2 linked regions of the Neodiprion lecontei genome follow. The main gene of each other region encodes a partner of the protein of the gene in region 2 in a complex. Links are inferred from orthologs where the notes say so. Each region holds a gene or a part of one and is shown on either strand. Other genes may lie near its edges.

Region 1 (4,756 bases), about 1.9 Mb from region 2:
GGGAGTCTTTTTCTTAATATTCTATGTTACGTCTCAGACAAAAAAGTATGCTTAAATTTAAAAAATAAAACTTCTGGCCAATCTGTAAATACCTTACTCCCAGCATACAGTGCCAAAAAGTATATGAATGCATGGAATTCTCTGAGGAAAGACCGCTAGTATTATAAAGTAATAATTTTCTTTCTATATCCTTGGTTTTATATTACAATATTGGATGACGTGATATAAGTATAAATTGGGAAAGGAACACAGAAATAACACAACAAATGATCATGATAATATCGTGACCATTCAGAACCAGATCAGAAATGAATACTAAAATATTACGAATAAGTATTAGTACATGTCAAGTATGACTGTACTAAGGAACGGTAATATAAAAGAAGATTTGTGAAACTTAATTCATTTCATGGCTAAAAACCCAAAATTAAATTATGATTGTAAAATATAAATATTCTGATAATGCATTTTAGATTATAAAACTGTATTGAATATTGACATACCCATAGATCATGCTCTGCAAAATCAAAAAGCAGCCAAACCTTCCGATCATTGTGTGATAGAAAGACACGTATCAATGTTATGACGTTTGTATGTTTCAATTCTCTAAGGAGCTATAAGATTTGAGGGAAAAAAACATGTCGTTATTATCCAAAAATCTTGTGTACAGATTATATTTCAATCTGAGTGTTTTGGATATAGGTTACACAAGGTATCCAGTGACAAAAAATGCAATATTTTCGACGGGTTGACGATTCACTTTTTCTGCAGAATTGAACGATTCTAGTAATAATCATGTCTACTTCTGAGTCAACTCCAGCCTTCAACTAATTTATAGTTTAAAATAACTATTCAATCAAAAAAACTAATCTGAGTTCAAATAGTGACTATACGAGTTACCAAATAAACTTGGTAAACATCTGTGAAACTGACATAGTCGCACAAATATTTTAATCAAGATCCGCTAGAATTGACAAATTTCTAGGTCTAAAATTCTGTATTTTCAATGAGTTTTCTTTGTAATGACAAATCATGGAGTAGACGACACATGTTCATAAAAAAATGAAGCCCACAGTAAAGGTTCTGCTGTCGGTAGCGTAAAACCGCTTACTTTACTTTAAGAGCTTCCTATCAATGTACAGGTTATAACGTAGAACCATGATTACGGTTTTCAGAGGCAGATAATGTGTAATAGTGATATATATGTAATTACTTATACATATGGCATTGGCATAGATGAGTACATGTATTTAAATCAGTAATCTTGTGCAGATAAATACTTCATGGGAAATTTGCTAAATTCCACCATTTCTTCTAAGGGAAGTTAATGGTTAATCAATGGTAACAGCACCACTTTTTTTACACAATAATGGGATCTAATTTTCAGCACTCTACATGAAGAATATCCACGATTTGAAAAATTTCAATATTTACATTTACTAAATGCTTTAAAATCTCAAGTGAAAATCTTTCACCAAAAATTTTTGCACAGGCTTGGAAATAAAGTACATTGGACTAAATTTTTGCAAATTTTCTGACTTCCCCTAAAAAGGCCCAATCAAAGGACTTCAAAGGGTTCAAAGCTGATATGTGTATTTTAAAGAAATATAGGACAATATAGATTTCAGATATTTCCAAAAAAAAAAAATCATTTTTTTCTAAAGCAATAATACTTTCTCTGGTCACTTTAGCATTTTTTAGTTACCATTAGGAACATCAAAATTGAGGAAAAAATTTTATATTATAGTTTCTACTGACATTTTATTTCCGCATCTTAGGATCCTCTAATTAATTTTAAATACCTAACTTTGAAATGTCTCAATTCACTGAATCTATCATCTCTGTGGAAATTATAGCAAAAAAAACTAAAAAAAAACTTATTCAACAAGTTTTTCATCAAGTTTTAGGGATTAGTTTTCATCAAATATTATTGGTTACTGATACTGCCTATCCTCTTGGAGAAATTAAAGGAAACTTCACCCTCAGTGAAAGGCTGACTTTAGTGAAGACCAAGTGTTATGAGTGACTGGATCATTACAGAGTTTTGATGTATATTCCACAATACATTCCGACAATTGTCTGACTTTTGCAATCCAGAAAGTTTGAGGTTTTTCAATACTCTTAACTTTTGAAGACTTTGGAACCATCGAAAACTGATACATGGTGGTATTGTATCAGAAACAACTTTCAGTGACATTTCACAAAGAAAAAACATGTGACCCAAGTCACTTTTAGCAACTGCAGTGAAAGAGATGCCACTTGGTCTCTTTAGCGACAGATCTCAACATCAATCAGCGAAGGACCTATTTCTGTATTTCCTCGCTTATAGCTAATGACAATTTGTAGATAGCTTAAAATCGCCAGTCATTTCCCAAGTGTTATGCAAAAGTTAGAAACGTTTAAATCAAAATGTCATTATGTACAGTTGCTCTACTCACTGCTATCTCGCGACATGCTGACATAGAAAGCCCAGTCCCTTCGATTTGTTTGAGACCAAAATCTTTAGTATCAGGACGTGATTTTAACTCGCTGTCAGGAACTCTGAAGTAAAAAAATCTGTGTTTAATAAGATTTTAAATGTGGAATGATACAAGAATGTTGAATTGGCAACCAGAAATACTATAATATTGGTCAAAATTAAAGACGTATGAAGTAACAGAAAACGTAAAAACTATACAAAACTTAATTTTGACTATTCGGACTTTGTCTATTTATATTGCTCAACGGTTCATACAACTTGTATTGTAAATATTCGATCGTGGAACGTATCACTTGAGTATTGAAGGTTAGATAAGTTAGAATAAACTAACCCTTCTTTTCTCCTCGCCTTATATACATGACCGTACGTTCCCCTTCCAACCTTGCAGCCTTCAAATTCGAACAAATCTTCAACTTTCGTACGATCTTTCTGGGTTTTTACTTTAAATTCATAATCCATCATATTTGATGTCAGTACATACAAACTAAATTATGACATCTTTCAATCCAAGTTGCAGGCTGGGCTGAATTTTCACGGGCGTCAAATTGATGCTGCAGCGTCACGCCGTCGACGACAAGGGAAACGCTCGTGGAATGCCGCGCGCCAAAAACTCAAAACTACAGCGTTGAGTTAGCGGTCTTCATAAACGTTTTTATCGTAAGAATTAAAAACTCTAAGATTGTTAATTAGAAGCTTAGAGCCGATAGACATAGAGGAAGGAAGCAACACGCTGAAAAAGTGCCCCCGAGCCAATAAGAGAGAGGAACGTCGTAATAATACATGAGGTCTTCTTCTATGGTAGGTGCGAACATATCGTAATTGAGTGCCGTGATATAATCCGAATGATATGAATACATATTATACACTAGTGCCTATTGGTCAAGTTATTGAAATAAACAGTCAATAATATCAATGTTTAGCATATTTTCAAACGAAACAATATAACTTATAAATCTGGAACGGGCATTTGCCCCGAAAAGTCCGATAGAAACGCAACGTTTCAGCGACATGATTTTAGTAAATAAATGAAACTTAATAGGTATCTTTGTACAACAATAGTAACACTTCAATGCCTATATGCTTCCGGTATGTGACTACGGACACGTCAAACTAACAAAGCCTTAGAGCCAGGCACCGGGGTTCTGTGGTACGAGCGTGAGTGCTGCCTGCAAGCTTAAAAGCATTCTAAGCCTGCAAAACAGAAAAAGAATGTAGTACTACTTCCTTCTCGTTACCATTTTCCACTTACACAGAAGGGTGTACCAGGCTCCCTCCATGTCTATATCCTCCAAGATTGGAAGTAACGAAATAAATCACAAATATATTGACAAAAGATGTATTGCAGCAGGAATGATTTGGAAGAAAATTGACTGCAAAGTTTCATTGGTCAACATTGTACATACATACCGCGAGAAATAAAACAATCACATCATTCTTACACAATAATACTTAAAACACTTAAACTAATGTTGGTAACGGAAGTTACGTCGGAAACACTTGGGATGCATCGGAAATACCAACTGAAGTAATTCCGACGTAACTTTTGCTACCAACATCGAAATCAATTTGTGCTAGAATCCTCATAATTTTAAACAGATCCTTGATAAGTCCTGCAAAAGTCGATTGGGAAGTGCCATGAAATATTGCTGATCGAGGAAACATTTCACCTCAAAAAAGACACACTACCAAGTCACCTGGGGTGAGATATTTTTCCAATCAGACGTTTTACACATTTCAATTCGATTTTAACAGGATTTACGAAGGCTTTATTGACAATTTCGGAAATCATAGCAGAAATCGCTTCAGATGTTGGTGAAAAAAGTTTCATCGGGAATACAAAAGATTTGATTAGCTGAAACAGACAAAAAGTTTTATTAGCTGAAACAGACGAAGTTACGATTAGCACAATGAAAAAAGTGCGTGCATCGACAAAAACTATGTCGAGCCCAATATCAACATTTGTGAAAACAGTCTTCTACTCTAGCATTTCTATGATTCAAGAAAAAGTCTACATGTTTTTAATAAAAATCTGGAATTATTAGCATAAATATTTTGTTCGAGTAAGGACTTGTAAAAAACGGTATGCTTGTAAAAAAAATTAGTTCATTACCTTGAAAAAAAAATAAAATAAAATCACCAAAAAAATACTTTTGTACACTTCAGGTATGTTTTATAAATACTCACGACAAGATTCTCTACTATCACTGTACACTCTGCAATTTTTATCCCCGTGAATTGACCGTCGGCTTGCAAATGCCACGCTTTCTCTCAGAATCA
Region 2 (4,935 bases):
TTTAAGATACATCTGAACTACTCTTATTGAACGAACTTGCTTTTCTTATTCAAATTCATTGCTTTATACCTATATTTTAATTATAAATGAAAATAGTCAATCTTTTTCATATTCAATTTAATTTGGCTCAGTTTCAATTATTTGATATTTCAATAATTGTTCAGCATTTCAACTCGAAAGAAATACGTCATGGTATATGGATGTTCATGAAAGAAAATCGTACCTAACAATTATTTGAATTCAGAAATATGCATTCAGTAATGTGAATTAATTTTAGTGTTCAATTATAATTATCAGCAAAATTTAACATTTCTCATTAAATTAACAAAAACTCAAGTTTCATTTATGTACTTTTTTGTACTACACATTTGTTTTCTACAGATGTAGTGTGCATTGACTAGAATATTCGCCTTGGAGCAGTATTAAAGGAAGAAATTAGTACAATTCTAGGAACCGTGGTCGAATTTCCTGACATTCCGCTAATAGTTTCAAACTGTGTGAAATTTCCAAATCTTCCTTGGTTTTCCAGAAATTCTTTAGTGATAGATACTCTGTATCTGTTTACACTCTGAAGTATATGCTTGCTAATAAAGAAGAACTAATAATGAAAGAGGCTCAGCCTATGGATTTACATGATATAAAAACTAACATCACTTTACTGCTAGCAGAACTTGCGTTAATGAAGATTCGATCACCATCAGCTGTACAACTGTCCAACAGTGCTCAAAATTTGTAACACTAGCGAAATTTTGCAGTTCCACTAACAAATTTGTGGCTAATATTGTTGGCACGGAACAGTTTTGCAGGGTTACTCGTGAAGATTGATCAGAGTTACGGATCATGTCATATATGTTCTTTTTATTAATCATTCTTTTCGACTTTGAGCGAGAAGTTAAACTATCCAAAAATTGCGATAATTATTGTGAATAAAGAGAGAATTACCATAATAGAAAAACCAAGTGGCTTCCATAGTCTTGTGAGGTGAATAGGACCTGGTTTGGTAAGTTCACTAGTAAACGGCGATTTGGTTTGTTTGGAAGCATCGGTTACTCTTCGAAAATACCTCACATGGTGCAGGGTGGTTTGCGACATGGCTTTTGGTTTGTGATACTGCACACCAGATAGTAGCCTGATTAAAGAGAGGAATCAAAATATTGTATCGGCTTCAGACGCATGACGTCACATAACCAAAATTTACCAACGATGCCGTTTTGTATTAGTGTTTACCATTTGCCCGACATGTTTCCAAAATTGAGCAACGCCTGCGTGGCCATAATTGTATAGGAAATAGTTATTCTTTCGTTCACTTTGTGTACTCTTATATCAATTTTTACTATCTTTAACTACATTGTCAATTTCATACGGAAGCCCGGTTATGCATACTTTAGTGTGAATTTCCACAATTCTTTGCCAATAGGAATGACGATAAAATAGAAGATTCGCACTCAGCGCACAACAGACAGTGCTTTCCTGCTTTATTGGCGGTTCTATTGGTCAAGAACTCTGCAGCAAAATGCTGTGGCAGCACTTCGCCGCCCGTGAAAATTCAGGCTTAATGCAAACTTCACCGTACCACGCGTGCTTTCCAACGTTACAACGGTTTCACCATTGCACATAACCATATATTTGACACTCTGAATTTGACAACGACTGCGTCCGTAATTCTTAGTGCATATATACACATGTTTATATGCTGTAAGGTGCTGTAAGGTTCCGTTATTAACAGTTATTTTCTGGCAGCACTGACAGAAGTTTTGCGTCACTCTTGCTCTACCAGATTATCAATGATACTCCGTCTCACACCTAGGGAATTCTTTAGTGTGTAGGCGGCTTATCTCAGGTCGTAGTCATTTAAAGCTGTGTAACCGTAGAAAATGCCAAGATGGCGTTGTGGGCAACTTGCCCCAAGGATGACAAGTTCGGTGAAATTTTAATCGCCTACAGAGTTTAAAATACGGTTTTAACCATGTATATATTAAAAAACAGTATTCTGCTACTATACACGATCTATTTTTCTGTAAGCAATGAAAATTAATTTTTTTTTTGTTTTTTCTACGTTGTCAACTTTTAAAGGTTATATATTGCATTGATCTCTCGTTCAAAATGCTGTATATATTCATTCATCCTGTGTCGTTTTATTAAAGTTTTGTGAACTTTATGTGTGTTTAACTAATTGTCTGATCGCCAGCTTCGACATAATTTTTTTTTTTATATTATTTTGAAGGTTATAGTCTCGTTTAATTCCACTTTAAATTTGTGAACTGTACATGGGTTCCTGTTGTCTTTGATCCCGGTTTTTACTTACCATGATGAGCATATTGTATGAAAAACGGCCTTTAAAAAGGCCAAGATTAGGCCCTCCCGACGTATATCCACAAGAGCCTAAGCAAAAGGAGGATGAGCTTACACTAGTGAACGTTAAACATGGTTTTGCTACAATGCCTCAATTATCCGATGAATTTGGATCAGCCAAGCAATGTAATGTCACTGCTGCAAAAGTTGGTGCATATTTCAACGGTATACTTGCTAAGAAAGAAGAATTTGCCACGATGCCTGATACGGGAAGAAAGAGACAGCAGATTAATCCTAAGGATAATTTTTGGCCTGTAACTGCCAGAACTAAAAATGGGATTGAAGCTTGGTTCAAAGATCTGTCTGGCTGTAAGCCTTTGCTGGCCTTGGCCAAGAAAGCCCCTAATTTTAACAAGAAAGAAGAAATTTTTATGATGTTATGTGAATATCAAGTACCGATGCTGAGAGCCGCTTGGTTTATTAAATTAAGTTCTGCTTATACCGTTGCTGTTTCTGAAGCAAAAATTAAGAAAAGACAATTACCTGATCCAACAACTGGTAAGGTTCAAAACAGAAAAGTACAATAAATAATAAAACGATATGTGTTGTTACAATCTATCAGATTTGTAATTTTCATTATATGAGTCAGACAGATATCTCGAACACTTGATCCAAAATTATTATACTCACAAAATGGGTACAGACTGGAAAATAGAAATCACACATTGTTTTTTAGTTTATCATTATTGATCTTCAATATTCACAGGTTGTTTTACAAATTTGACGAAATGCTATATCATACGTCATAAAAGACTGTTAGAATTCCATTTGAAATATTAAAGGGTACTAAAAAGTAATTTTAATGTAGTAATGCATTTTTAGAAAAATTCGTTTTTCCACAACTAGAGGTTTGTCTGAAATTATAATCAGTAAAGCATAATGAACCAAATTAGACTCATATTTTATTAACTCAACTCTTTCAAGGTCATTCTACAGTTGTAGAATAGTGATTTCTTATTTAATGTTTCGTTACTTTAACTTGACTGACTTCACATTCATCAGAACTTAGCTTCCTACATACATACTAATTATTTTGTTGAATTCTCATCAATGAACTTATGAATCGGGTTGGTATGAATTTTCTTATTTCAAATAATCTATAAATTTAAGTAGAGTGAAAATAAATATTTATGGGGCAATAAATACAATTGATCCTTTATTTTTCTTTTAGAATGGACTGGTACCTTAATAAAATTTCTAAAAGATCAGCTGACCAAATTACAAGAATATTATCACATGAATCACAATATCTCTAATGGCATGAGCAACAGTACCAATGGTAGTAATCTGAATAATAACAGCACCAATAATACTGTGAATAATCAACCAACTACACCAAACCCAAATCCTGGGACAACTGTGGGTCCAGCTATGAACGAAGATCATAAATTAGCACTTAAACAGTGGCATTACTGTATTCAATTAGCCAAATACATGTTTGAGGAAGGATTGCTCGATAGGCAAGAACTGTTACAATGGATCTTAGAACTTCTCGATAAAATGAGATCTGCTCCGTTGGATGATGGGATTTTGAAGCTCTTATTACCATTGGCTTTGCAATATCTAGAAGAGTTTGTTCAGTCGGAGTTGTTAGCTAGAAAATTGGCATACTTATGCTGTCGTAAAATCGCACAGATGTGCAGCAATGTAGAAAACAGCAATAATCCTCAAAGTCCTATGGTCACTGCCTCTGTAAAATCAGAAGTGAGTAATATAAAAGAGAATCCCATTGCTCCAATGCCGGTTAATCCATTTACCGTGACTTTCAACGACTATATTAACTGTCCACATCACAGAGACATAATCTTGGGATTATCGGCTATAATTCAGGTACCTTTTTAATTATGTAGGGTAAGTTTTATTTGGTTGTCACCAAATTAGACACAAGTCATTTTAATTGACGAATAATATAAACACATACAACTACTCTACACAAAGGTTTTTGAAGAACACTGTCTTTGGTGCAGAAACTAACTTGAGAACGACAAATTTATTTTAGAAACACGCATTTAAACGCATCTAACGATCGTTCTTCATAAAAGATAATCAGTCGTTCTTCCCTCATTAGAAATTAACTTTTATAAACTATGTTTATGCTTCGTTATTACTTATCACATTTGCTAAAGGTAGAACTTGCAAAATCATTATTTTAGTATTTTATTATTTTCATCAAGAACTAACCCACCTCGAAATAGGAGTGCACTTTTTCATATAAACTCTTACATGTGATTTTATAAATTGGCCAACTAGAATATTATTACAAGAGACACTTTTGAAATGCTTATCCAGAAGAAACCTTTGAACATATACCCAAGTGGTTTGTATTTAAGGAAAGTGAGTAGAATGGAAGCTTTTCCAATCTAGTTAAATTGATCTTCAACAAATTTATGACTCAATGAGGATTTTTATTTCGTATCCTGTTCAATATTGCTTGTGCCTCATCAGCTTTGACTAAGATAATCTATTCTTAGTCTGTACAATCAGTAGACCAATCTTCTAATTTCTCTAATTACCTATAAATCCTTAGGTAATTACAATCGAGTGTCCGACCGCCTTAGTTTGGAATAGTGTCGGAGAAGGTAA

Evidence for each region. Proteins that work in one complex are often made in the same cells at the same time.
Region 1: mediator of RNA polymerase II transcription subunit 12 (region 2) and cyclin-dependent kinase 8 share a complex: the UniProt entries of both Drosophila melanogaster proteins name them as parts of the cdk8 module of the Mediator complex. The link is inferred for Neodiprion lecontei from reciprocal best matches to the Drosophila melanogaster genes kto and Cdk8.

What each region holds. Positions count from the first base shown.
Region 1 is NC_060263.1:23,752,359-23,757,114, reverse strand, and holds the start of cyclin-dependent kinase 8, read right to left. Parts: upstream 3,026-4,756; 5' UTR 2,942-3,025; coding exon 2,811-2,941; intron 2,542-2,810; coding exon 2,439-2,541; intron 615-2,438; coding exon 504-614; intron 1-503. UniProt on the Drosophila melanogaster protein: Component of the Mediator complex, a coactivator involved in regulated gene transcription of nearly all RNA polymerase II-dependent genes.
Region 2 is NC_060263.1:25,699,962-25,704,896, forward strand, and holds the start of mediator of RNA polymerase II transcription subunit 12, read left to right. Parts: upstream 1-1,816; 5' UTR 1,817-2,306; coding exon 2,307-2,850; intron 2,851-3,523; coding exon 3,524-4,182; intron 4,183-4,879; coding exon 4,880-4,935. Other genes in the region: presenilins-associated rhomboid-like protein, mitochondrial, read right to left, coding at 943-1,129, 1,228-1,274. UniProt on the Drosophila melanogaster protein: Component of the Mediator complex, a coactivator involved in regulated gene transcription of nearly all RNA polymerase II-dependent genes.